Regions from separate parts of the Mus musculus genome. Here all the other regions are reported to be linked to region 2. Evidence: microRNA targets listed by miRTarBase, many of them from high-throughput screens and not tested one by one. Region 2 holds a microRNA gene; each other region holds the end of a gene's coding sequence.

Evidence for each region. The annotated mature microRNA mmu-miR-467f reads AUAUACACACACACACCUACA and lies in region 2 at 4,855-4,875, opposite strand. An mRNA with a match to its seed (bases 2 to 7 or 8) in the 3' UTR can be bound and repressed. Matches are read on the target gene's strand: a 7mer-m8 pairs with bases 2 to 8, a 7mer-A1 pairs with bases 2 to 7 and ends in A, and an 8mer does both.
Region 1: miRTarBase lists Dcaf17 as a target of mmu-miR-467f. Seed matches in the 3' UTR shown: 8mer at 1,657-1,664, 7mer-A1 at 2,838-2,844 and 7mer-A1 at 6,539-6,545.
Region 3: the mRNA of Fezf2 is a reported target of mmu-miR-467f. The part of its 3' UTR that is shown has no 7-base or 8-base seed match.
Region 4: the mRNA of AI429214 is a reported target of mmu-miR-467f. The part of its 3' UTR that is shown has no 7-base or 8-base seed match.

Annotation. Positions count from the first base shown.
Region 1 is chr2:71,089,024-71,096,145 of GRCm38, forward strand. Dcaf17 (DDB1 and CUL4 associated factor 17) reads left to right here. Exons shown (of 14, transcript NM_001165980.1): 14 at 766-6,835. The coding sequence ends at 906. Among named protein-coding and RNA genes, the nearest start is that of Cybrd1, 25 kb to the right of the region's middle.
Region 2 is chr11:69,630,565-69,637,666 of GRCm38, forward strand. It overlaps Mir467f (microRNA 467f), which reads right to left and starts at 4,955; the gene lies at 4,836-4,955. Fxr2 (fragile X mental retardation, autosomal homolog 2) reads left to right here and starts at 2,407. Exons shown (of 17, transcript NM_011814.2): 1 at 2,407-2,834. The coding sequence starts at 2,754. It also overlaps the pseudogene Gm12308.
Region 3 is chr14:12,335,769-12,342,879 of GRCm38, reverse strand. Fezf2 (Fez family zinc finger 2) reads left to right here. Exons shown (of 5, transcript NM_080433.3): 5 at 122-988. The coding sequence ends at 384. Among named protein-coding and RNA genes, the nearest start is that of Gm24578, 5.4 kb to the right of the region's middle.
Region 4 is chr8:36,993,584-37,000,705 of GRCm38, reverse strand. It overlaps AI429214 (expressed sequence AI429214), which reads right to left. Exons shown (of 1, transcript NM_001039220.3): 1 at 5,173-7,122. The coding sequence starts at 7,006. The coding sequence ends at 6,125. The region is part of intron 2 of G630064G18Rik (RIKEN cDNA G630064G18 gene); the gene reads left to right. Among named protein-coding and RNA genes, the nearest start is that of AI429214, 3.6 kb to the right of the region's middle.

The DNA.
Region 1 (7,122 bases), not on the chromosome of region 2:
AATGATTAAGCAAGTTGGGTTCTAGCACTTGGAAATATTTGTTCTTTCAAATATCAGCCCATCAGACTGTAGGTTCATTTCCCAGCACCACCTAAAATGAGTTGGTAGTGGCAGTGAAGAAGTTTCAAGAGTACTGGGGAGATGGTTCAGTTGCTGTGCAAATGTGAGAACTTTGGGTTTCGGACCCCAGAACCCACCACATAAATGCTGGCAGGTGTGTCAGCCCAACTTAGAAGTGAAGACAAGATCTCAGAGGCAAGATGACCAGACTAGCTAAATCCCTGAGTTCTGGGACCAAGGCATAAAGCAGAGAGGAACTGAGGAAGACATCTAACATCACTCTCTGGCCTGTCTACAACACACATGCACACACAGGTATCCACACACATGTGAGCATACTCACGTTCCACAGCACACACACAAAAGTAAAACAGAGAGCAGCATACTTGTGCCTAGGTCTTTTCCTCTCAGTAAGAACTTGAGAGGTAGGAACACTTGTACGTGCTCCTGCGTCAGACAGAAGTGCTGTTCTGACACTGAACTGCATAGCTAAGCCCCTAAGCCCAGAGCTCTTTCTATTCTCTACATTTTCTGTATTTTTCTGTTTTCTGTCTACATGCACATAAATAATGAAAAATCCATTTCTGACAAGTCTTCTGCATCGGTGTGCATATGTAGGGGCATAGGGTAGGTGCTATGGGATTTTGGTGACACTGTGAATATAATTGTGTGAAAAGCAGATCCCGTGTGACTGTTTTGTTACAGACATATAGCCATGAAGTCTACTTTGACAGAGATTTGGTGCTGCACATCGAACAGAAGCCCAACAGGGTCTTCAGCTGCTATGTTTACCAGATGGTCTGTGACCCTGGAGAAGAGGAGGAAGCTGTCAACAGAAGTGGTTAAGACAGTGAGTCATTGTAACTTGAGACTTGGTTAAAAAAACGAGCCTCAGTCAGCTGTAACTAGTCCTCATTATCTGCATGGAACATTCTGCAGCATTTTCCAGAACAAGTCTTGTGCTAGCTCCAAAGGACTAGGTTGAACTCTTACCACATATGGTAGAAAGGACTCCATCTTATGTAAAAGCTCCCTAGGATGCTGTCCCAAGAGACCAAGCATTTTGAAACATTTCCATTAGGTGCTAACGTGAATATAAAATGCTAGGGAACCGAGGACAGTTATCTAGGAGTCAAAGAGACATCATTGATGCAGGGATAACTAATTCTTAAAGACTACTATAAAGTTTTAATTAGTAAGGCTGGGAGAGAAAAACAAAAATAAAAATACTAAATATAGGAGCCAGGTATGGTGGAACACACTTGTAATATCAGTGCATGGCGGGTAGAGCAGAAAGATCAGGAGTTCCAAGCCAGTGCTATAGCCAGTTAGCAAATTCAAGGCCAGCTTGGTCTCCATGAGACCTGATCTAAAGACGTCAACAAAACATAAAGATATACTATATACTCTATACCAAACTTTACTTAAGGATTAGAAGTAGGATTTGTAATGTAAAATCATACTTTTGAGCCAAAAATTACCACAGCTTCTTTGTAAACAAAACAAACCAAAAGAAAAAAAAAAAAAAACATATCAATTCTAGTTTTTCAATTCATCAGTTCTTATGCGGTCTTATTGACTGTAGTCCGTTTGTGTGTGTATAAATACCAGTGCACTTGACTTTGTTTCTGAGGACATATTTGCATGTTTATGTGTATGTGGGTGTGCACATATTTGCAGATGTGCCTGCATGTGTGTGCATGTGCGTTTGGAGGCCAGATGTCAGCCAATGGTGTTCTCAAGAGCCACCTACCGTGTGTTTTCAGATAGGGTTTCACTAGGGCCTGCAGCTTACTGATACTGCTAGCCTGGTTGGCTGGTCAGGGATGCTGCTGTCTCTTTCCCAGCACTGGGACTAAAGGCATACTTACCATCATGCCCAGATACATACATGGGTGGGCATCAGACTCAGACTTTCATGCTTCTGTAGCAAGCATTTTACTGATAGAGCCATCTCCCTAGCATATGTGTTATAAAAGATTCCAGGCAAGTTTCAAATGAAAGCTTTTCTTCATTTGTACCCTGTTTAGCTTTTAATACAGCTAAAGATGTCTGTCTTATTTTCTATCTATTTGCTGAGTGGCTATGTTTATTTAGTGCTGTTTTCATATGTAAGCAAGAACATAAAGGGGCCTCTGGTAGGCCCCTTCTGTGCATTGCTGGCCCCTGGTGGCCTCTTCCTTGTAGCACAATTGAAACCAAGAGGAGTTCTTTCCTGCCTGGGAGTAACCTCATTAGCCAGAGGAAGATTTTGATTGTTCATGGAAGGAATGTTTTTCTTCTGTGTTAGAACAGATTTAAACATAACACTTGAATTCCAGTAATCACTTTCAGAATGTTAGTTAAAAGCAACCTGCGTGTAGGGAGAAACTGTTTCTTACAGTCCCTTTCTGAGAAACCCAGCTGCTCAGAATCTCCCCGGTCATCTCATTCTTCCAAGTCGTCCTCCAAAGAGAAATATAAAACAAGAAAAGAGCAGTCAGAGCAGGTAGTTCACACCTGTAATCCAGCACTCGGGGAGCTGCAGCAGGAGGATTGCTGCAAACTTAAGGCCAACTTGTACTATGTAGCAAAGCCTTGCTTTAAAGAAAACAAAACCCTTGATCTCAAAGGCAGAGGCAGGACAATGAAGAATTCCGTGTCAGCTTGGCATGTAATGAGTTCAGAGCCAGCCTGGACTGCATTGAGACTCTGCTTAATAAAGCATAGGAGAAGAGCAACAGGCCATACTTGATTCAAGTTTAAGGTTAAAATATGGAATTTTAACTTGGAAGATTTGTATAAAAATCTCTCCATTTTGTCCTGACCCCATGTTAAGAATGGTGTGAATTCCAGGCCAGTAAGTGGTGGCACACAACTTTAGTCCCAGCATTTAGTAGACAAAGACAGGTGGATCTCTGACTTCAAGGCCAGCCTGGTCTTCAGTGTGAGTTTCAGGACAACCAGGGCTACACAGAGAAACTTTGTCTGGGGTAATGGTAGAGAATGCCATGAATTCTCCAGTCAGACTTGAAAACCTGCAAAGATGTTTCTAGCTGATTATGATCAGCAGGACTAAGGAGAGAGGTGTTGGCTGTTTAAAAATCAAAGAACTAGTAACTAGTGTGTCTATTCAGTCAAGAAATAAAAGAAACCTAAAATCATCTTTTTATGCAAAGAAAAAAATTACAGGTTGACTATTCCTTATCTAAGATGCTTAGCACGAAAGTGTTTTGTAAGTGAAGTTTTCCTTGATTTTAGGATATTTGTGGGTACATTATAAAATCCTGAGAATGGGTCCAAGGTCTAAGCATGAAGTTCGTTTAATGTTTAATTTGTGTCTTGTATACATAACCTGAAGGTGCTTTTATGCAGTATCTTAACTGTACCTGTCCATGTTTTAACTGTGTCCCAGCACATTAGATCAGGTGTTGAATTTTGTAGTCATTACATCATGTTAGCACTAGTTTCAGTTTTTAGAGCATTTTTTATTTCTGGATTATGGATATTAATATGCATTGATGTTTTAGAACAAAGCAGAATGTATGTGAGCTAAAAAGAAATCCTTCCAAAGCTGGTCCTGTTCAGAATTGTCATCTGGAACACAGACGTAATTACCTCGTGAACAAGATAGTAACGTGTTAAAGTCTAATACTCACGTCTAGAGACTGAAGAACTCAGGCTTGGTTTATGATACTTAACATCTCTATTTAGTGTCTCTGAAGCTCGGAGAGCATTTTAGAGACAGCATCGTAATTACAGAGCAGTTAATAGTTACAGCGCCCAGCCCTATCTGACATTTACACCTTAGTGTTTGTTTTTGCTTTGTTGTTTGAGTGGTTTTTGTTTGGATAGTTTGTTTTCTGGGGTGTGTGTGTGTGTGTGTGTGTGTGTGTGTGTGTGTGTATTTAGATAAGGTCTTACTCTGCAGCTCTGACTGCCTTGCTACACTATGTAGATCAGGCTAGCCTCAAACTCACAGAACTCTGCCTGCTTCTACCTTTCATTGCTGGGATGTCTACCATACCTGACCCATTGACCAACAGGCTTGCACAACATGAGTGAGAAACAAATCCAAGAGCAGCAGCAGAGAGAAGAAGGGTGATGCTGTTTAGCTTGGAAGTTCATTTGCTCTGTACTTTGAGAGCATTTGGAACAGTGTGTCTTTAGACTTCAGTCTTAGCAAAGAGTCTTTCTAAGGTAGGAATTGAATTTCTTCTCCTTTGTCATTGCTATGTATGTATATACATGTGTGATAACAGAAACTCATATTCAGAAAGGCTGTTGAGACATTTCTTAGATACGTGGTAAGAAAAAGGAATGGGCTACTTCTAGTCTAACTATAATGTGACCACTAAGAAATTCCTAGTGTGAGCTGAGCCTAATGGCTCACATCTAAAATCCTAGCAACTGGGAGGCTGAAGCAGGAGGGTTGCCACAAGTTGGAGGCTAGCCTGGGTTGCATGCCTATAAGCCATACTGGGCTACACAGCCACTTTTAAACCCAGCTCCATCCAAGAGCTCTGACACCCACTTATGACCTCCACAAACACCCATACATACCTGTGTTCACACATTCACACACATACATACAAATATACACAACACACACACAGAGCAAAAGAGAGAGCCAGCTGTGCCCAGCTAACAGGATGAGATACAGCTGTTTAGTTTTGGCCAGTTGTGGCAGTTTATGGGAATGTGAACCACATGGTTGATACAAAAGATGCTGAAAGATGTTGAAGATAAGAAAAAAATGAAGAAAATTTAGATTCTGCTCATACCAAGAAGATGAGCTGGGAATGTAGCTTAGTGGTAGAGCACTTGGCTGTTGTGCATGAGGCCCTAGGTTCTGTTCCCAGTGCTGGAATAATAGCAGTAGCAACAACAAAGCCAACGTGTGCTTCCCAAAGGTCCGGCTGTCTCCTGTCTGCAGCTGCTCACTCCGGAGAGTTGCTTCTCAGCAAGGACAGACACTAAACTGAATGGAGTTGCTTCTGTATTCTCAGAGTGACACAGCAGGCTTATTGTTCTGCGGTATTTGTCACAACTCTGGGAGAAACAGAAAGCAAATCCTGTCACTGCTGCTATTGAACCAACAAGTGAGGAGATGGTTTTATTTTGTTTAAATAAAGATATTCCGGGCTGGTGAGATGGCTCAGCAGTTAAGAGCACCCGACTGCTCTTCCGAAGGTCCGGAGTTCAAATCCCAGCAACCACATGGTGGCTCACAACCATCCGTAACAAGATCTGACTACCTCTTCTGGAGTGTCTGAAGACAGCTACAGTGTACTTACATATAATAAATAATAAATAAATCTTTAAAAAAAAAGATATTCCATGGTTGTCCACCATTTGAGCAGCTTAGTAACCCTTCCTTATGTGTACTTACAAAAGGGGGGTGTTGTGTTTTTTCCCTTCCTCTCTCTGCACCCCTCTCCCTCTCCTCTTCCTCTTCCCTCTCTCTGGTCTTCCCCCCCTCTACCCCCCCCTGAAATCTTCTGTGCCGTCCAGGCTATGATGAGCCTCCATGCCCAGCTGTGAGTCTGAATGGCTTGTGTCTGCTGCTGACCTTGATACATGTAAAGTACTCCTGTTGAAAATAACCACTTGAGGTATAAATTGCCATTGTCTTTCCCCTTGTACACCCGGGGACGTGAGGCTTCTGCACACTGCCATAGCAGAACAGTGAGGACCTGGGAGCTGTTATTGAGTGTGAGGTGGTCTTTGTTTGTTTTGCATGGTCTGTATTCCGCCTAGTGCTGAGTAGTGAACATGGGCCTCTGTGCACACTAAGCAGTGCTTTTTACTACATCCCAGCACCTAGAAAGTTATGTGTGTGATAATTGAATTTCCATTTTTTTTGGACTAAACTTGCATAAGGCAAAGTTTATACATGAATTGACAGAAAGATGGTTCTTCATTTAATAATTGAATATAGTTCAAAAATGATAAGTTTGTAATGAAGTAAGCATTATTATCTACTCTTACTACAATTTAGCTTCTATTAAATAATTTTTGAGTGTTGGCAGATTATTGCCACAAGTAAAGGCCAGCCTGGGCAGCTTAGTATCACCCAGACCAGTAAGGACTATAAAGCAAGAGTCTATCAACAAAAGATAACAATGATGATAGTGAAGATTTTTGCAGTTTCTTTTCTTCCTTACCATGTTTGTTAACATTAAACATTTTAGAACCTAAAGAAAACCCAGGAGCTAGTTTCTGCTCCCTGTGGTTCTGTGGGTGTGATCTCTGTCTCACATGGAAAATAAATTGTATTTCAAGCAAAAGCTATAGTGGGACAGAACTTTCCTCATTGTGTTGAGAAGATTTTTAACATAGAGTAAACTTTATAAAATTAGGTTGTGTGTAACCAAATGCCACATAGGTTTCATTCTTTTATTACCAATTTTCAGTGCATTTCAAATAAGTCACCCAATACCTTACTTAAATTCTAAAAATGTATTTAATATTTACATGTAATGAAATACACATACATTGTATAATTTTGCTGAGTTTTTAATGATTGTGTAATCCAAATCCTTCTCAAAATTGAAAGCATTGGGTCATGCATTACCAGCGTATGCAGGCATCTCCTGTCACTCCATCACATTCCAGACCAAACTGCTTAGCACAGGACTGTGAAAGTCACCCATGCTGGAACATCACTCGTTCATTACGTTTTATTCCTGAATCTTTTATATGAATACACCAGTTTGTTTTCTGTCTCCCTATCGATGGGTTGTTTCTGCTATTTTTTTTCTTACTGTTATGAATAAAGCTGCTATGTTCACTTAGGTGTGTGTATACATATGTATATAGGTAATATGTATATATATTTGTCTTTATCTTGGATAGTTTCTAGGAATAAGCTAGAGTTTTGCTGTCTACAAGTAGGTGCATGTTTGACACACCAGACGTTCCCAGAGTTTTGCTCCACTTCCCAGGCCTGTCATGCCATATGAGATTTGCAGTTGTTCTTTATTTTTTTAACGTTTGCTCAGTAGTCTTTCTTCTTTTATCACTGATGGTGACTATGTAACCACTTCTGGTTGATACCCAGATGTTTCTCCATGTGTCCAT
Region 2 (7,102 bases):
TTTATTATTTATTTAGGCAGAGTCTTTCTATATAGTCCTGGTTGTCTTGTAACTCACTGTGTAGACCAAGCTGAAACTCAGCAGAGATCTGCCTGTCTCTGCCTCTCAAGTGCTGGGATCAAAAGCATGTGCCACCATGCCAGGAAACTTTAAAAATAATTTAAACAGCATTACGTGTCAGGCCTGTGGTATCTGACTTTAATCCTAGTACTGGGAAGGCAGAGCAGGTGAGGGGTCTTTGTGAGTTTGTGGCCAGCTTGGCCTACATATTGAGTTCCAGGCCAGCCAGAGTTTTCTTTTTTTTTCCTTTTTTTTCCTCCACAATCCACGAAGGCTTTTTATTTATGCTTTACATTTAAAAAAATAACCCCAGGATTTTTCCCTCCTGTACGTTTTCGTCTCCCTTCTCCATGGTCCATGATGCCAGCCGAGGTTGTCAGCACAATGAAACCAAATTGCTGCGATGGGAGCAGATCGTTCTGCAATTTATTTCTCAAGGTCTTTGAATCGAACATCAAATCTAGGGCTTATAACTCCACGCTTGTTCAACCTTCCTGTGAGGTTCACAACGATCTTCCCAGCTCTGTGATCATCAATGACCTCGAATTCACTAGTGTAGCCGTGCTTCACCATCGAAGAACCGAACAATGACTTTACAACACAGCCTGATGAGGACCTGGTGTTTGCCTCTCTTCTCAGTGTTGTGGAAGCTCTTGAAAGCCTCTGCCAGAACATTCATTCGCACCATGGTGGCGGCAAGGGAATATGGCAGAAAGGGCCAGAGTTTTCAAAACACCTCAAGACACAAAATAAAACCTCGGGTCTGGGTCTTTTTTTTTTTTTTCAGCATCAAAATTTTAATTCATGTGAATTGTTTAAAATGAGAATCTATTACCAGTGTCAAATGAACGTGGAAGAGGAAGGCAGGGCTGGGGGAGGAGGAGGAATCTCCCTTTCTTGGTCACAGAGCTCTGGTTCATCCCACTGTGGATTTGATAATCTCCCAGAGACACGTGGTCCTTCAAACTCCTGTACCATTGGGCCGCTATCAAGTTCTTCAAGTTTCTGATGGTGTCATCTGTGTTGCATTTAACCCTGACTTCCTTTCCAAGAAGGTTGTTGTTAGCAGCCTCAATCATTGTGGTGGCAGCTTAAATCTTGACGACACAACCTGTAGTTTGAACACTGATCCTATTTTATTTTGTTAAGTATTTATTTAATGTATATGAGTACACTATTGCTGTTTTCAAATACACCAGAATAGGGTACCAGTTCCCATTATAGATGATTGTGAGCCACCATGGGGTTGCTGGGAATTTAACTCAATACCTCTGGAAGAGTAGTCAGTGCTCTTAACCACTGAGCCATCTCTCCACCTCACACCCCTTATTTTTACAAAAAAAAAAAAAAAATCTGTTATACGTGTGGGTGACCACGAGTGATGTTATATGTATGATGTTCAGGAGACAACTTGCAGGAGGATATCTCCTTCCATTTTGTGGTCTAGGAATACAATTCCCGTTAAGCTTCGTATTCGAGCCATCTCTCTCTCTCTCTTTTGTTACTCCATGACAGTTTTTCCTGTATTGAATCCCCTCAGAATTTATGCATCAAGTTATGTGGCATTTTGTTTTTCATACGGCACTAAATTTACTAGAATACTAGTCAACTTAGGGCAAGCATGGTAATGACATGGCTGTAATTTTTGCACTTGGGAGGTGGAGGTTGGAGGACCTATTCAAGGTCATTCCCCCACTACCTAGTTAGTTCATGGTCAGCCTAGGACACAAGAGACCCTGTCTCACAAAACTTAAAAAAAAAAAAAAAAAAAAAAAAAAAAAAAGTCTACTTAAGCCAACAACAGTGACTCTTGATTCTCCTATGGATGCAGAGAGTCAACACATGCGCATGGACACCAAAGCCCAGCGCCTGCGCACTGGGCAGTTTTTGCCTTTTGGTTCCCCCCCCCCCCCCCTTTTTGGAGTGTGCGCACCAAGAAAGACAAAGGTGGTGAAAGTGACCAAGCAGTCATTCGGGCGCATGCCCATCCCTAAATTGCCCAGGCTCCATGGGGCTCACTTTGTGGAGGCGGAAGTCCAATCCGATGCAGCGAGCGCGGCCCCCCTCTCCCTTTGATTGGTTTGCTTCCAGTGTTGTGGGGCGGGGAAAGGAAGGGACAGGGACAGTGGAAGGTTGGAGTGGTACAGAGAGCGTTCGCCTCGTTCTGCGCAAGCGCAGAGAGGCGACCAGGAGGGGGCGTGAGAGAGTGCAAGAGAATGTGGAAGCCCTGACGCGCTGGCGAGCGGGAGCTGGGTCGCTAGCCTAGACGCCTGCGCCTTGGCCCTCCGGCTCCGCGCGCGGCGGGCGGGTGCCCTGTGCGCCTGCGCAGTAGGCGGCGGCAGCAGGGGGAGGTGGAGGCCGTGGAGCGGCAGCGGCGGGTCCCGGGACCGAGGCAGCAGCGGGGGCGCCGGCGGGCGGAAGCTGAGGTGACGAAGGCGGCGGCGGCGGCGGCGGCCGTTTCCCTCACGGTGGCGGAGACCAAGGCAGCGGCGGCGGCGGCGGACGGGGAGCGGCCCGGCCCCGGCCCCCTGCTCGTCGGCTGTAGCAGGGCCGCCGTGGGGCCGGCCCGGCTCCCGCCCCCCGCGGCTCCCCCTCCGGCTCCTCCTCCAGGGAGACGCCGGGGACCCGGCCCGGCCCGCACTCAGGGCTCTGTTTCAGCTGCTGCCGGGCCAGTCGGAGGTGGTGGCGGCGCCATGGGCGGCCTGGCCTCTGGGGGGGATGTGGAGCCGGGACTGCCCGTCGAGGTGCGGGGCTCCAACGGGGCCTTCTACAAGGTGAGACGGCGCGTCGACCCGGGCCACCCTCCTTAGCCCCCTCCCCCAGCCGAGGCAGGGAAGAGTGGAGCGGGATCGAGTTTCTGGAGCTTGGTCTTGACCCTTAGAACCTTCGACCCACGTTCCCACTCGAAACCCTCCCGTGGCGATCGTGGGAGTTAACCCTCGTGCTTTTATTTTGAGCTCGCTGTTACACCTGCTTTTATCAGCTGAAAACATGGCCATCAGGTCATTCCTGTGCGGGGATGGGAGCCCCGGGTCCCTTTGGAGAAAGCCCTTTTCCTAGCTTCTAATCGACTTTTCTTGTTTTTTTTTTTTTTTTTTTTTTTTTTTTTTTTTTTTTTTTTTAGTGTAGGCGATACTTCAGCTTTTAATCACATCACCCCTGCAGCCCAAGCACATGGAGGATTCGCATTCTTTTCCTACATGACCCCCTTGGGAAGGTCCACTGTCCCACATTAGGTCTTCAGGGAGCCTTCTGCCTACTGGCTCTAGACCATTTGCTCAACTTTTGGTCTTAAATTCCTGTTCCCAGGCTGACAAGAAATGGTCAAAACCCATCTGTGTTATTTAGCATTAGCATCTTTGGCCTCAGGTTTTTATCAGCCAGCCATAAAGTGGATTTGTTGGACAAGTTTGTCACCCACCACACCTATATTCCAAAATCACCTATGAGGGATGGATTCACGCTTATCTCTTTGACTCTAGATATATTTAGGTCATTCCTCTATCTTCTTGGTAAGTTTAAGCTTCACTGTCTCTCAAAGGCCATCTCAACAAGTTCTTATTCTAACAGATTTCTGCTTGTTGACAATCCTTCTGGAAAGAAAAAAAGTATCTTTCAGAATTGCTTCTTTAATCAGCTTTTTCTTTGCCTAAGATTTGATTCCTGTGAACTTTTTTAAGGGGTGTGGTTGGGACAAGATCCCCTCCCTGGCTGCACTTGAACTCTTCCTCAGCCTAGGATTACAGCTCTGGCGTTACTGGTTGAGCCACCATGCCAGACCAGACTTTTGTTTTTTCCTTCTTTCTATCCACCACCCACCCCATCTTCTGTATCTGTCCTGAGTCTATTCTGGATCCCACGCCCCAGATATTTTCTTCTTCTGATCAGTGGGGTTCTGAACATCTTTTGACTTTTATGAGTGGAATTGTCCCGGACACGTTTGGTCCCTCTCTTACTCTTCATCCTGGAGAGAAAGAGGAATTTCCATAGCATGAGATGGGTGAGAAGAGCCCCTTTTTCTTCAGGTTTCCTCAGGTTGTCTGTCCCCCTACCCTAGTAGAACTTCTACTTTCTTATGCCCTTGGAAATAACTTTCTCTGACTCTACTATGAAATTGTATCTTTTTTGTAGCTGAAAAAAGACTTAGGTTTGCCCTACCCCTGTAGATGGTTCCTACCCTCACTTCAACTGATATGCTAGTTATCCATTATAAAGGCCAGGCCATTTTTTTCCCTTTTCTGATCAAGTTCTTTACCCAGTGCCTATGGGTGCACATACCTATTAGCTTTAATGCAGCTTCTCAACTAAGTCTCGGTCTTTTTAGCTTGGTATTTCTGTATTCCTGTGTATCCTTGATGATGTCTACCTGTCTAGTCTGTGTATAGCTGAAGAAGGCTCCTAGCTGATTCTGTCACTTTCCTAACTCTTGGTACTTTTTCTTCAGACCAGAACAGTGTCTCTAACATTTCTGTTTTCTGTAGCAAAAGTCTTTAATTCTTTTGGCTTCTGAGAGGACACATTAATGTTTTAATATCTATTTCACCCACATTTGTATTACCTTTGTTAAAACAGTCTCCTCAGGCTGGGTATGGTGGTACATACTCTAACCCTAGTACTTAGAAGGCTAAAGTAGGATTGTTGAAGTTCAAAACCAGCATGGGGAATGGAATCCAGTCTAAAACAACCCAAACAAACCCAAAAAGTACTCTTTATTATGCTCTCTTTTCCTCGATATGTTAGTCTTCATCTGTATCCTTCTAACATCAAAATGTTAAAAATTCCAAAAAAGCTGTGTGTAGGTGTGTGTGTGTATATACATACATACACACACACACACCTACACACACACCCACCCCCGTTCGATTTCTGGGTACAGGATTTCTCTATGTAGCCGTGGCTGCCCTGAACTCAAACTCTGTGGGATAGGTCTGCCTTTGTTGAGTGCTGGGATTAAAAGCATCCACAACTACTCTTAGTTTGAAAAGTGGTTCTTAAATTGAGTATGAGATCAAGATAAGATATTTGCATTTGGTTTAAGGAAGCTCAGGAGCCATGCACAGCTGGGACAGATGAGTGCTCAGTTCCAATTAACTGTATGACATGGTTGGGCTGGGACATGAATTCTGTTACACATATGGGTATCCAACAGAAAGTCTCTCTTTTATCCTTTTATTCTGTGGGCCAGAGCAGTGATAGATTTGAGGGAAGCAGGGACAGGATTCTTTGATAGTATAGAGTTAATAAAAGCCAAATATTGAGTGTAGATTTTGTATTCTGGCCACTTCAGCACTTTCTGCTCCATGACTGAGTTAAAGACATTGCCTAAGTGTAATGTAGATACTTACCTATTCAAACCTTGCTGATTAATATTTATGACTCAGCAAACTTTGGTGTGAGTAAGGGATACTAACTTTTTAGATCTTTTACGTTTGGGGAGATTCTTTTCTCCTCTCACAAAACTGTTTTACTGTGATTTTTCTAGAGCCAGTAAATATCAGATCTGAGGTCTAAGTTATTTTAGAATTATCCTATCAAACTTGGCTTTTCTGTCAGGATGTGATGTGTTTTGTTAAGGTGGTTTCAGGTGGCTTGGGCTTTTAACCCGGGATGACCTTGGACTCCTGGTTTACTGTGGCCTTTCCTAAGACCTGGGATTACAGGTGCACACCATCAACCCCAGCTTCATAATGTGTTTTGTTTTGTTTTTGTTTGTTTTTTGAAACAAGGTTTTTCTGTGTAGCCCTGGCTGTCCTGTAACTCATTCTGTAGACCAGGCTAGCCTCAAACTCAGAAACCCGCCTGCCTCTGTCTTTTGTTGTTTTTTTTTGGGGTGGGGGGCAGGATATCCTGTGTTGCCCTGGAACTCACTCTGTAGGCTAGGCTGGCCTTGGAAGGTTTAGGCCACCACCAACCTGTTAAGATGGGGTCTTATTGTATAGCCTTGCTTTGTTGATAAGGCTAACCTTGAACTTGAGGTCTCATCTTAGCCTTCCACTGAAGTACATCCTCAGCCAGGTAGCCCTCCTCCGATCTCTTCCTTCTTTCTTCCTTTCCCTTTCCCTTCCTCCCTTCTTTCATTTTTAAAAACATTTCTCCCCATATAGAGACAGGATTTTTATACTTTGATAGCTCAGGTTACTCTGAAACTTAGCACGTAGCCTAAGCTGACCTCCAATTCTTAGACCCTCCTGCCTCAGGCTCCCCCCAAACAGCCAAAGCAGGTCGTATCTGAAGCAATATTCAGGGTTAGATGTTCTCATTATAAGGAAAGAATAGTTTTGTAAGTGGTGACTGGCCAGGTCTGTGAGGTGGGAACTCTGTATTCTCTAGAATATTATTGGTACATTTTCTCCTAAGCTCTGCCACTATCCTAGTTACTGTACTTAGGGCTGGTCCTTGAATATTGTTAGCCTTTTTTTTGAAGCATCTGGCTTTCTTACTGCTTTTGATGTTGAGGATTGAAATCAGGGCTTTATACTTGCTAGGCACACATCACACGGAACTATATTCTAGCCAAACCCCCCTTATCTAATCTATCTAGTGTTTTTTTTTTTTTTTTTTTTTTTTTCTTCCAGAATAGGGTTTCTCTGTAGCCCTGGCTGTCCTGGAACTCACTCTGTAGACCATGCTGGCTTGGTTAGAGATCTGCCTGCCTCTGCGTGTTGGGATTAAAAAAACCACCACCTGGCAGCTATTATTTTTCCTTTCTTCCTTCCTTCTTATCTATCTTCCTTCCTTCTCTATCTCTGTCTATCTGGCAACTTATTATTTCTTTCTATCCATCCACCTATCTATGAGACACTGTCTATATATTTCTGGGTAGCCTGAACTTGTGATATAGACCAGGCTGGTCGTGAATTTAAAAAGATTCACTTGCTCCTACTTCTCAGCTCCTGGGACTAACAGCTCTCTAAACTGTCTCCACTTCTATCAAAAAACGCAAATACAAACTAATGTTTACTAATCAAAAGCAACTGTGGGACTAAGAGTGTAGTACAGTTGGTAAAGATGCATAAAACACCGTCAGCACCAGATAAACAGG
Region 3 (7,111 bases), not on the chromosome of region 2:
CATCGCCTTCTGAGCTACTGCAGGGACTGAGGGCTGGTGGTGCAGGGTTTGGGGGAGGTCTTATTCCACTACAAACCCCTACGTTTTTGTTTTTGTTGTTGTTGTTTTTGCTCTTCCGTAGGGAACTACAAGAATCACAAGCTCACCCACAGCGGCGAGAAGCAGTACAAATGCACTATCTGTAACAAGGCCTTCCATCAGGTCTACAATCTGACCTTCCACATGCACACCCACAACGACAAGAAGCCTTTCACGTGTGCCACTTGCGGCAAAGGTTTTTGCAGAAACTTTGACTTAAAGAAACATGTGCGCAAACTTCATGACAGCGTGGGTCCCACCGCCACCCCCTCAGCAAAGGACCTAGCCAGGACAGTTCAGAGCTGAGAGCTACTGCCTTGTCCGTTCTTCCTGCCCTGTACCAACCCAAGCAGATCTCACGTATAAACTTATTTCTAAAATTAAAAGAAAAAAAAACTATAGCAGAGAGGCTAAAATCTATTTATCGAAACCAGCATATTTTTGGGGAAATGTAAACGTGTCCTCGATGACCGGCACAAACGCGTGGCTCCCACCTTTGTACATTCAGGAAACGTATTTAAATCCAGTGCGCTGAAACATATTTAATTCCAGGCCTCCGCTTCTCCTCAGGCAGCCGGCTTTTAATCCCAGCCTGTCACCGTGAGCGCCCAGAAGAGCGTGATGCCCCTGCCATCTTCACTCAACCTTGTAATCTCTCCTGTACAAGCGAACACGGAATATTACATATATATGACTCAATAAATAGAACCATTAGTGCGCGTCTTCTTTTCCCCATCCCCTCGCCACGAGGTCAGCTCAACAAATCCAAAGAAGGAGGTGGAACTAAGCATTTATAGCTTTTCCTTTCCCAAATGTAACTTTCTTGGGACACCGGGGCCAAGCTAAGGTTAAACCGTACTCCTGGTATGCTGGTATATTAAAGCACCCAGGAGCATGGGCCGAAACACTTCCATCCGGCTCCATCAATAGCCCAAGGTTTGATTTGGTGACTGAGCAGATACTTGGGATTCTTATTTGGGTGAGAAAAAAATTTAAGGGTCAAAAGTGGCTGGATGCTGTGGAATGGCCTTTGGGTATCCCGAGCGTAACAGCATGCAATTTAGGAAAAAGGCTGGGGTTTAAGGAGCGCAACCCTGGTCCTAGCCTCCTCTGACAGAGACAGCTAGAGGCTGTCCAGCCTAGGCCGTGCTGTTGAGCTCTTGGTGTCCTTTGCCTGCACTTCAGGTCTGGGCTGGCTGATCGGTAAGCGGCACCCTGCCGCGGGAGGGCGCGCCCAGCTCCCGGAGCTGGCCGATGTGTCCTCCCTGGTCGTGATTACCACGCAGTTAGCCCACTTCCTCAATAGCTATCTCTGCCGCCGTGCACGCTGATGAAATGATCTCACGCTTGCTTTCTAAGTAATGACCCAAATTAAGAGAGAAAACAGAGACCCTTCAAACAGCATTACATTAATCATCTAATCATTCCCAGGAGGGGGCCGGCTGCCGCCGCCCCGTTTGATCCGAATCTAGATAATCAAGAGCTCGGATTACTGGCGCGTCGCGCCTGGCCTCCTCCCTCCACCCCCACCCCCTCCACACTTTTAATATCAGCGCGGTGATTCAGCCCACGTCTTCTGGAACATTGTTCTTCTACACCAGAGGAAACGCGGCGCGGGGCCCGGGAGTGCTCTTCCACGCAGCCTCCGAGTTGAGGGGGTGAGAACTGCTGAGCGCTGACCCCATCCGGATTTGCACCGCGGGTGGAGGCTATTTGGAGGGAAGGATGGTTACTGCAAAGGGCAATCCCAGGTAACTCTTGACAGTAACTAGTGAGGGTTAGCCCAACGCGTTGTATACAGTAGGCACTCATTACTGAGAGCGCCACTGACTTCCACCAGAGAGAGAGAGAGAGAGAGAGAGAGAGAGAGAGAGAGAGAGAGAGAGAGAGAGAGATCCTCTTATTTCTAGAGCTCTTTCCCAGGCAGGCACTCAACACCTTTACTGTGGCTTTAGCAACAATTTGCAAGCTGTGTGTGTGTGTGTGTGTGTGTGTGTGTGTGTGTGTGTGTGTGTGTGTGTGTGATTATTCCCACTCTGCAGAGAAAAAGTAGAGGCAGAGAGACCATCTAAATGACACGCCCAGAGTTTCCCGGCTACGAAGGGCAGAGCTCCAAAGTCCGGGCTTCTAAGAGACCATCGCTTCCTTCAGATTTCATTGATGGAAAGCAGTCTCAGGCTTGTGGCCTGGAGATGCTCCTGGCCAGGGTGGAAGATCTCTCCTGCTCACAGCCAAACCTTCTGTCCTGGGCCCCCTCCCAATCTGAAGACCCATTGCGTTGAGAAGGAGAATTGTCGATTTTGTTTGCACAGAGGACAGCGACAGCTTCCTCAGGCTGTCGCAGGGGTATTTTTAGTACCTCCGATTCAGAAATAGGAACGCGTACATTAGAATTCCATTTCCTGAAAGGAGAGCGTCCTCGTTTTTTTGTATTCCTCTCCTTCCTCCTCCCCCAAGTCTGGGAAGATGTAGCCAGGGGAGGGGGGCGAGGAAGCCAGAGGGGATTTAAATGCTATCTTGTTCTGGCTGCAGTTCCCTGAGGAGAGATCGGGACCCAAAGGAGCAGGCAGATTTAACTCTCTATGTATGCTATAAAACCCAGGCAACCCCGGAGGGGTGAGGAGGACAGGGCCAAAGAGAATAGGAACTTCCCTCTTGGAGGCTGCATGAGTTTGACAGGTCAATCCCTCCACTTCTCCATTTCTTCTCAAAGTATTTTATTAACTTTGCTTGACATTCTTAGACCCCACTCCGTTCTAGAACACCTGAGTACTCTATATCAGTCATTTCAATCAGCTTCCTCCTCCTCCTCCTCCTCCTCCTCCTCCTCCTCCTCCTGCTCCTGCTCCTCCTCCTCCTCCTCGTTTTCCTCCTCTTCCTTCTCTTCCTCCACCACCACTAGCACCATCTCCCAAGCATACCTTTTCAGGTGTGCTGCTTGGAGATCCTACCATGTCAAGCACATCTTAAAACACCTCAGGAAGATATTTATACAAAGGCGAATGCCGAGCTGCGGAGTGCGAAGGGAAGTGGCTTGTAGGAAATTACAGTCAAGTGCCCTTCTCTTAAGGAAATCTGTTCCATGGAAGAGGGAGCATGCCACCCAGAAGGCTAGCTTCTAACTATCAAGCAACAGAGCCCGGAGAAAGTCTTCTGTTGTAACTTTCCATGTAACTTTTTTACAAAAGGACCTCCCCCTCTTGCAAACTGAAAATATGCGCCTTCAGGTTGGCGGTTGTAAAGTACTAGGGGGTTGTTTCTTTGCAAACTCCAAAGTGAATAAAATCCAGCTCAGGTGGAGCTGATGGGGCTCCCCTGCTTGTCCCTGCTCCCAGGAAGTGGTGCTCTGACTAGGATGGACCTCTGCAGTTTCCCTCCTGTTCCCACCGCCTTGAGGTTGTTTCTCTTAACTTGATTGTTACTTAACCTCCACACTAGGCTCCTGCCAATCTTGCGCACCTGAGAAGGTGTTATTTCACATCTGAAGGTAATTGAAGATAAACAGTTCTTCCAAACCTAGGCAGCTTAGCTCTGCCTTCCTCCGGTTGGACACCATTCCCTGGTTGAAGAGGTCTGTTATCTTGGTGATGGAATCCAGGAAAGACTGCCTTCTCCTGGAAAGAGTCAGCACTTTCCACAGCCAGCACCGAGCTCCCTCCTTAACCACTGTAGCCTGCCTTCTCCTTAGCATCGTGCATGGAAATCGTGGGCGAAAGGCTCTGTTTTCTCTCGTTTTTTTTTTCCTCCATAATATTAAATTGTTTGCATGACTTGAAGTTTGCAATATCAATAAATGACTTAAACAAGGTAGTCATCCGCTGCATATTAATATTCTAACCTTGATTAAATTGAAGAGGCCACCCTGAAAAAATATTTTTTTTAAAAAAAATCAAATTGCGGGGGAAGGGAATCCTATCATAGACACAAAAAAGACTCCAATTATCTTTTCCCCTACAAGATGTTTGTTCTGTCCATGACTGCTCACACTTCAGCAATCTTGCCAGCAAGACTCAAAAAAAAAAAAAAAAAAAAAAGAAAGAAAGAAAGAAAAGAAAAAAGAAAAGGAAAAAAAGAGAAAAACCCTCCTTCCAAAGCCACAGCCTTGTACATAACAGATTGCACAGTCCTATTGCCTTAGGCGGGTTAGAGGTTCCTCTCTACAAAGAGCGACACAGAGAAGTGCCAGCATCCAGATACATTTTGGGGGGTACTCCGCATGCTCTTGCCTTGGCGGCAGAAATGGGTTTACATGGAGCCCCATTTTGCTATTTGGCTCACAGAAAGGTAGAGGGCTGCCTGAGCCAGACCCTAGAGTTAGAGCAGTAACAAGTCAGGTGAGCAGGCGGTAAATGGGCTGGAGGGAGGGGAGGGGGCAGGAAGAGAAGGGGGTGCTACCAAAGAGGGTACGGGAGTCTTGAGAAAACGCTGGGAAATAAATAACCTCAAGGCAGCTGCGTTGCCCTTTTCCCTGCACGTCCCTCTCAAACGTCTGAGCAACCAGTTTGCTCCCAGAAACATGTTAATTGCCAGCGGAGCTCATTAAGGCATGCACATGCAAAACACAGCGAGAAAGATTAACTGGACAAAAGCGTAGTAATGAACTGTCAACAATCGGGCCATCCACAGAACCAGCATCACTCAAGAACTCGGCATTTACAGGCAACAAAGGATTGTCTGGGACAGGAAGAAAAGACGACCTAGACTTTTGTTTAGTCAACACAATTGATTACAAATGAGAGATTAACAGGATAGCTTCAGATTTTTTTTAAAAAGAGGCAGAAAAGAAAAGTCCAATTAAGTCCACCGAATGTTAACTACATTGCGTTCCATGCCTAGCCCCAAAGAAATTCTCATTAAACCATCCCTGGCGATCCCTTTTGGAAAGTAATTTGTCTCCCTGATGGAGCAGAGAAAGAGAATCGTGTAAAAGAAAGCGTTAGTTCTTGGCACAATGAGCTTAGGAGACACACTAGAAAGAGCCAAAGGGGGAGTTAATGAGCAGCTGACAAACTACTTGGATTCAGGCCTAGAGAACAGCGATGAAAAGATGAAATTGGCCAACAACTATTCTTTATATCAAACATAAAAAGGCCAATCTGAAACGGGGCTGCTCAAAACTGGATGAAAGTAGCTCAAGAAAAGGGAGCCATGGCCAGGCCCCTTGCTGGACAGTGGACAGACAGTGTGAAGAACCCAACAGGCCAAGAGTTAGAAAAGTAGATGAAAAGCAGGCTCTCCACAGAGGACAGCCTCCCCATCTCAGACCTTTGCAGGTGCTGAGCTGAAACTCCTGCTGCCCATCCTACAGCCTGGAGATGTTCTAAGAGAGAAAGAAACGCATCAGGCCAACATTTGAGGGGAACCTCCCAAAGTTCTTTTAATTTGATAATTAGTTCCTGACATTTACCCTTTCTCTTTAATACCTCACTTGGCCTCTGGGGGGTACCATATGTTACCAACATATACTAAGGTGGTCTACTAGCCTTTCTTTCAGTAGCCATTCAAATTTCTCAACCCAATTCTGCGTTGGGGAAGAAGTGGCAAGAAAGGCAAGACTTTGTTCACACTTGGCTTGGTGGAATAGGGCATGGCGTATTTAAAATCTCATCCCTGTTTATCAGGCCTAAGAAATTGTTGTATTTTAATATGTCCTTGTTTGAACAAAGTAGGTCAAGATTATATATCTGAATAAGACAGGATACATGTGTTCACTAACTGTAAACATCCAGGCACTCCTTAGAGCAAGAATGTTTGAAGGTTCTTTAACACAGTGCTCAGCCAAGCCAGCACAGAATCCACAGGTGAGAAGGGGGTTTCAGAGTGGCTCAGCAGCCAAGCACCCCGGAACAAAGCCTGTGATTCCCATTTCTGATTAGGATGGGTGCCACCCCAGACAGTAGAGTCGAGCGTTTTGATTTTGAGTCTAGGTTTGTTACTTTTCCTCAGATCCTTGGTAACAGCTATCACATTTCTGAGGGCTTGGCTTGCACCTCGGGCTTTGCTCATGCTTCACAGAGAGAAATACATTGGTGTCTAGAAGTAAGGAAGGAAAAAGAAATACAGCAATTCAAAATAAAAACAGACATCTAAGATTAAAGACGACTCCTGGTTCTCAAAGCACAGAGGTGTTACCGAACCTAGAGAGGTGCTGGAGGAGAGGAAGAGCCCTGAGTTTCGTTGCTGCAGGCAGACCAGCTTTCTGGTAAACAGTGTTCTCTTTCTCTGAGCTGCAGATGTGACCAGCGATTGGTCCTTGAATCCTTCCTGTCTGATTTTTTTTTTTTTAATCCGAGGTCTTATTTGGAGCTTTTTGTCTTCAAGGAGTTTTACTTTTTACTGTGGCTCCTGAATGGTTGATTTTCTAGGGGAAGATGAGCCACTTGTAAGGAGAAATTACCCTATAGTGTTAGGAGCTATGGAACTGACATGGAAGTAAGCTGAGTTCAGATCCTGCCTTAGCTGCACAAGCTGATAAGGACTTTTATCTGTTTCTGTATCTGCAAAATGGGCATGTTGGGGGCTGCCAACGATGCTGGCCCCAGCATGGTGCCTGTGGGGAGAGAGAACTGAACCCTGCAAGTTGTCCTCTGACCTCCCCAACATACCCAAGTGCGTGTGAGTGTGTGCACACACACATTTGACACACAACTTTAAATGGACATGGTAAGAATACCTGTCTCCCAGGCGTGTGGTAAGGAGGGAATGATTAAACACAGAACTGGGTCTTCAGAACAGCAACTGGCAGGTGTGCACAATCATTCTAAAGACCCTACTACCAGAACTAATTCCAGTAGGAAAAGCCCAACATTTTATGAGAAAAACCACTGGAATTCTTGAGTTGATTCCTCCCTAGACATGTAGCTTCTTTAGTCTCTTGTTTGTTTATTAACTAATCTATTTCTGAAGATCAAACACAGGGCCTTGGGCACACCATACTTCTTCACCCCATCTTCAAGGACAGCAAGCTGAGGTGCTGGCCAAGTATAACCGTACCCACCTTTCATCTACAGAACAGGAACTCAATGGAGAGGAA
Region 4 (7,122 bases), not on the chromosome of region 2:
ATCACCTCCAAAGAGTATTTACGTACGAATTGGGGAATTCCTTTTCACATACATTTTGGGACTCACAGTCAAGCTGTAACATGTGTAACTCTAAGCCTCATCATGAAATACCAAACTGTAAAACTATTAGTAGAAATCATACAGGAAAATTTTAATTCCTTAGACATGGTAATTGTTTCTTAAATGTAACACAAAGACATAACTTACAAAAAAAATGGTAAATTGGACTTCCTTAAAATTACTTGTTTTATGTATCAGATGGTGTGTGGGACTAGAGAGATAACCCACAAAATAAGAACCAATTTGTAAACCATATATATGAAAGTAATTTAATATCAAAATACATAAGTCCTACAACTCAAGAAAATTTATAAACAGCTCAGTTTTTAACTGATTAAAAGACTTGATCAGACAGCTCTTGATCAGACAGTTGTACAAATGATTACCAAGCAAATGAAAAGTTGTTCTGTAATACTGAATACTCAAACAGGAAAATCCAAATCTCAGAAAAATACCATTTCAAACCTATTGCAAATGGCTGTAATTTTTTGCGTGAAAAATAAGAAAAGGGCTTCCAATGAAGGGAAGAATTGGAGCACTTGAACATGACTGGGAAAAAAATATAAAATACAACTTTGTTTGTAAAAATCATTTCTCGGTTTCTAATAGAAGTTGAAGCTTGTGTTAGGAAGTGATCCCGCTAACTCTTTATACAAAGGCACCAACGACTTCATAGACATCTCACACTCAGAAGCTCATCTGATCCTGATTACAGCTTCTAGGTAGAGAAAAAACAAAATTAGAAACTGGTGGTTGAATAAACAAGTTCACAGCAGATATATTTGTGTTAATCAAAGACTGACAACAGTCCAAGTGTCATAGGCAATTAAACAGATAAACATACTGAGAACTATACCTACAAGAGATTATTTTTTAACAATTTTTATTATATATTTTCTTATTTTAATTTTTATTAGATATTTTCTTCATTTACATTTCAAATGCTATACCAAAAGTCCCCTATACCCTCCCCCAACCCTGCTCCCCTACCCACTCACTCCCACTTCTTGGCCCTGTCTATGTCTGCATGAACATAAACATAGAGGATATTTGTATGTGGTATTCTATTAGTTCTCCTGTACTATTTATTCAGCCATAGAATGAGCTGGGTTTCTATTTTGGCTCAGTTGGGAAGGGCTCACCAGAAGAATATAGCCAATAGGTTACATATGTAATTGTAACACTGAGTTTATTAGCATGCTCTCTTCTGCAAACAATGGTTCTCTGAGTACTAGACACACAGATAAGCCATTACCATCTCAATAAGTGAAAGTGAATGTCTCAGGAGAAACAGGGCCAGTGATGCAGTATGAATTTGATCAAAACACTTATTCTTCCTGTTTAATGACTAGTGAGATTTCCTAGAAAGACTGGAACTGTGGTCTGCTATTCATGGGTCATAGCGGCAGAACATCCATATTCACTCAAAAGAAATGGATCAAGACCAAGTGTGTGTGTGCGCGCGCGCGCATGCGCGCACACACACACACACACACACACACACACACACACACACACACACACACACACACTGGCTGCCTTTCTGTTTCTCTACTTCATTGTTTTGTGGTCCAGTCTGTTGAGTAGTGATACCCACCATAGTGATGGTTTGGCCCCCTCTGTTGTTTTGCTACATACAAATATCCTCTATGTCGACGTTCATGCAGACATAATCAGAAGTGTGCCTTAACGGTTCCCTAAGCATCACTCTAAACTGGGTGAAAAACCTACATTGCCCAGCTGGTCCCAGACCATTTCCTGCCCTGTGGCTTTGGAGCCTGTAGTGAGACAATACATTAGACAGAGCACAGTGTGGTGGTCTTGGGACTTAGAAAAGAAAAAGAAATAGGAAGTTCCTAGTACTCTTTTCAAGGACACACAGTTTCAGTGACCCAACTTCCACCCACTAGACCATTGTATAAAGGTTCTCTTAGCTTCCAATAGTATTACACGTTGAAGACAGAGCCCATAAGCAACACTTAGCCAAAGCACAAGACTATATACCAAAACACCTTTGGTGCTTATATTTGCACAAACAGTATTGGAATGGTATATAAAAAACAATTTAAGCATTACTGTTTAGGCCTTACACACTAGTGTTTCACATCAAAATTTTTATGGATTTAATGTGCAGAAATACTTCAGCCCTCCCTAATAAACTTTTACCCTTAAGTTCCCTGAATTCACTCCATCTCATGATCATATCTTGGTATGACTGGCTGTCCTAGATTCAAATCAGTGGCAGATATTTGCCTAGAAAGAGCAAAGATCTTGGAGGCAGCTGGTCCAGAATGGGATTGCACAGTAGCCATGGGGATAAGATCTGGCATACCAAACTTTTCCGTATCCCTTTGACTATTGGATCATGTAAACACAGTACATATTTAAAACTACAAAATTTATAGACAAAAATAAGCAATAAAGAACATGCTAGCTTTAAAAAAAGGCGTCAGGTAAGAAACTTGACCCATATTTGTACCTGTAAATTATACTGGCACAGAGAAAAGGAGAACGTGAGGGACAGCAAGTCCTGGAGAGAAGCTTGAATATAGCAGTCAGGAGAATAGAAAGATTATTCTAGGACAGATATAATAGAACTACTTCATAATGTCAATTGCTTTTAACTATTTTTGTAATGGAGGAGAATTGACTCAAGTTTTCTGTTTTAAGTTAACAGAATTACTTAAAATATTTGTGTGTTAGAAAAATAACCAAAAAAAAAATTGGGAATAGTATGAAGAGAAAAACAAGGGAGAAGATATGTAAATATCCTACGAAGAGCAGTGACAGTCAAAAGTACTGAAGAGAATCCATCTGAGACTGTTGAAGAAAAGCAGCTGCCTATTGAGATGAGGTTTTCCGGACTGATTGGCTAATAGAGTTTGACCTTTATTACGGGGAATTCTAAGTGGAGCAATGTTCAGAGTTTTGATTGTATAAAATGTGAATTTGCTGAGAGGCTGAAGATAAAGTATGATGTAATTTGGACCTCAACTGAAAAGTTATTATGTAGGTGGCAATGACTTTTTCCATTTTATTTAGGAATGACTAAGAAGATATTTTCCAGGAAAAAAGATCATTAATGCATAAATGAAGGCTTAGCTCAAAGACTAAAATCTTAACCATGATGGCTACAGAATCTCTTGAGCCGGGAATCCATCCCATAATCAGCCTCCAAACACTGACACCATTGCACACACTAGCAAGATTTTGCTGAAAGGACCCTGATATAACTGTTTCTTGCGAGGCTATGCCGGGGCCTAGCAAACACAGAAGTGGATGCTCACAGTCAGCTATTGGATGGATCACAGGGCCACCAATGGAGGAGCTAGAGAAAGTACCCAAGGAGCAAAGGGGGTCTGCAACCCTATAGGTGGAACAACAATATGAACTAACCAGTACCCCCCGGAGCTCATGTCTCTAGCTGCATATGTATCAGAAGATGACCAAGTTGGCCATCAGTGGAAAGAGAGGCCCATTGGTCTTGCAAACTTTATATGCCTCAGTACAGGGGAATGCCAGTGCCAAGAAGTGGGATTGGGGGTGAGGGAAGTGGGGGGTTTGGGGGACTTTTGGGGTAGCATTGGAAATGTAAATGAAGAAAATACCTAATTAAAAAAATAATGAAAAAAAAGAGCCATCGTTTGCAAATACAATTAACTTTCACTCAAATAATCTGATGTGTGGAAAACAGTCTCTGGGTAATGCCATCAATGCTAGCATTTTTATAGAAAAATAAATCATAAATATGAGCTATCAAGGAACATGTGATTTCCCCCCATTAATGGCAAACTGCTCTTCAAAAAATGATAGTTTGTTTGACCGAAAACTAGGACATAGAGAAGATTCATAAAATCATTATGACCAAAATGGATTGTTTATAACAATCCCGCATTGTTATATACAATATAGATACATATGTGTACGTTATATACAATACACACACGCACACACACACTGCTATATTGAAGCCCTCAGCTTCATCTTGTTTTCTTGCCAGCAATTAAACTCTTTATGTAGTATATATTCATATTCTTTATTTCGCTGTTTTATTCTTGCATGATTATCACACACACACACAAACATACTTTATTAATGGTCAGCATTTCTCAGAAGCTGCAATCAGTCTGCTTCTTTTCTCTCTCCTAGCTTCTAGAAGTTTGTCCCATCTCCGGCTTCAATGTCTAACTACATGCCAATGATTTCCCCACTAGTCTAGCCTCTAAACCTTTCCTGTTGACTCTACATATAAATAACCTGCTTCTTTATACTCTCAATGTATATGTCTCAAATACACCACACACTACTTAGATATAAAGAATTATATTCAATCACACCTTCAAATTCGCCATGTTGTAGTCTTCCTAGCTGTATTGTGTTTTATTATACAGAAATATAATAAGAACATCCATCAAAACCAGTTAGGGTAAGGAAAGGATTTGCTAAGCTTACAGAGTACCACCCATCATTTAGGGGTGACATGGTAGTAACTCCCAGCAACAACTTGAAAGCGGGAACTGAAGCAAAGACCATGGAGGAGTATTGCTTACTGACTTGTTTTTCCAATGGATTTCTTAGCTTGCTTCCTAACAACCCAGTACCTTGCCCCAGGGTGGCACCAGCCACAGTAGCCCAGGCCTTGATATAATCAAGAAGTATCCCACAGATATGGACATAGGCTAGTATGATAGAGGCAAGTGCTCAAGTGAGACTCCCTCTTCCTAAGTGGCTCTAGTTTGTGTCAGCTTAGATAGAAACCAGCACAATGACCCCTTGTCAGATTCTTGATTCTGACATAAACATTCCTGATAGGGTCTTTGTTTCCCTCTAAACCTTTAGAAGCCAGCTCTCCATCATCTGCCCCTCCCCAACATTCCTATGCTACAGGCTCTCCTACCTGGTCATTAAGCTCTGAGACTGCAAAGACCTTGCCTAGCACAAAGTTCTCAAGTCTTCCCACAAAAGCCACCCCCACACACCCAAGCCAAAACATGGTCACATCTGTCACAGCAATGCCCTACTCTCTGGTATCGATTTCTGGTACCAATTGGTTGGGTTTCTGTTACTGGGGTGGGGTGGAGTGTGTATGTGTGTTGAATAAGCAAAACTAGCTTAGAGAAGAAACAGTTTTATTTAGTTAATAGGTTATTGTAGGTCATAGAGGGATGCAGAGACAGGAAGTGAAGGCAGAAACTTTTGGGCAAGGACTAAACAGAACGCATGGGGAAATGTGACTTACTGGCTTGCTTTCCATATCTTGCTGAGCTTGCCATGTTACACAGCCTGAGACTACCTGACTAAGGATGGCAGTGGCACAAACCCTCCCGCCTCAATCATTAAGGAAGTAAATGCTCCCTCAGAAATGCCTGGAGACCGGTGGAGAAAGGCAATTTCTCAGTTGAGGTTTCCTCTCCACAAGTGACTCTAGTTTTTGTCAAGTTGACAGAAACTAAATAGAATTCTGTCTTAAGGAAATTACTATTCAGTCGAGTACACAGGTACACAAGTCAAAATCCTAGTGCCTTTTCAAAGTTAGTCTCCACAGCCTCTTTATCACCAAAACCAGCCCTCATCGCTGCTTCCTAACTATCTTATATCTGTTTACTTCTTTCTCTCTGTACTGTCCACCACCACTCCAAACTACCATCATTCATATGTGTGTGTGTGTATAGAGAGAATACCACACACACACACATATACATACATATATATATATATATATATATATATATATATATATATATATATATTCCCCTAGATTACAAAAGTTTTGCAATTTCTCCAATTGTCTTCCATAATGTGAAAAATCTATTGGATTTAATGATTTAGACTTCAGTGAAGGAAGCAGAAGTAAATCTTACATTAGTTTCTAAATTTCCTCTATATGAGATGGTAATTACTCAAATCCACACCAGGTACATGTATGCACAACACATGTTATCACTAATCACCAATAGTCACCATCCCCTGGTTGGGCATAGTACATATCATCATTAGTAGTCAGCACCTCCTATCTGGTTGGACGTGTGAGTTGAGAATCATTAAAAAGACTTGTACAGTCTTCCTACACCTGCTTTGAATATGCCCGCCCAAAGCCGGAGCTTCCCTTCAGCATTTTCTCAGTCAGTCGCTTCCAGATGATCCTAGGATCATCTGAAAGCCTGGGGAAGCCCTGATGTGCTTCTCCAACACGGGTGAGAAAGTCTGTGGTATGAAGGTGTTCATCTATTTTCTCTTGGAGTAGTAGTGACTGCAGTAAAGTTTTCCTTCGTCTCAGGAAGTCAGACTGAGCCAGCTCTGCTCTTTTGCTATTACAGCTGGGACACTGCGAAGAAATGTGTTGCGTAATCGCCCCTATGTACGCCAGAGTCGCTCTCGTGTTTTCCAAATAGATTCTGTTCCACAGTTCATCAGGGATCGTACAATTGAAAGCATCTACCTCTGAGGTCTCTGCAATCCATCTGAGCTGCAGCCTTTTGGGTCTGTTGCTTTTCTTAGCTCTTAAATCCTGTCTCTGGTGAATCAAGTTTACTTTTTTAGTACAAAAAGACTGCAGGGCATCCAGTTCTTCTGCGGATTCCTTAGGGATTTCTGGTGGGAGTCTACGGTCGGGTTGAGATCTTTCAGAATGAATTTCTTTGCTCTTGAGATGGTTGATCCACATTTCACTCAGCTTATTTTCATCCTTCTGTAAGAGTGAAAGTTCTGACTGCTCGTCTTGCTCTTCCGAACTTGTAGTCGGCGTTTTGGTCTCGACTGGGCTCTCAGAGGTGTGTGAATAGGATTGTAATTCTCCAGAGAAGCTGATGGAACCAGAACTCAGTACCTCATCTGCACAGGACCCGGGGAACTCTTCTGAAACTTGAGTAGCACAGACGTCCGTCTGGGCCGGGCCTCCGTGCTCTTCTTTTGAGTCCTCCGGCTTCTGAGCAGGTGGCCACCCCATTGTCTCGGACTCAGTTCCTCATCTGCTTTGCTCTGGTCAAAAATGGGTCTGGAACCAGTAAAGAGGAGCCGACAGGGCACAATCTTTGGTGTAGTTGAGTGCCGCGAGCTTCTTCT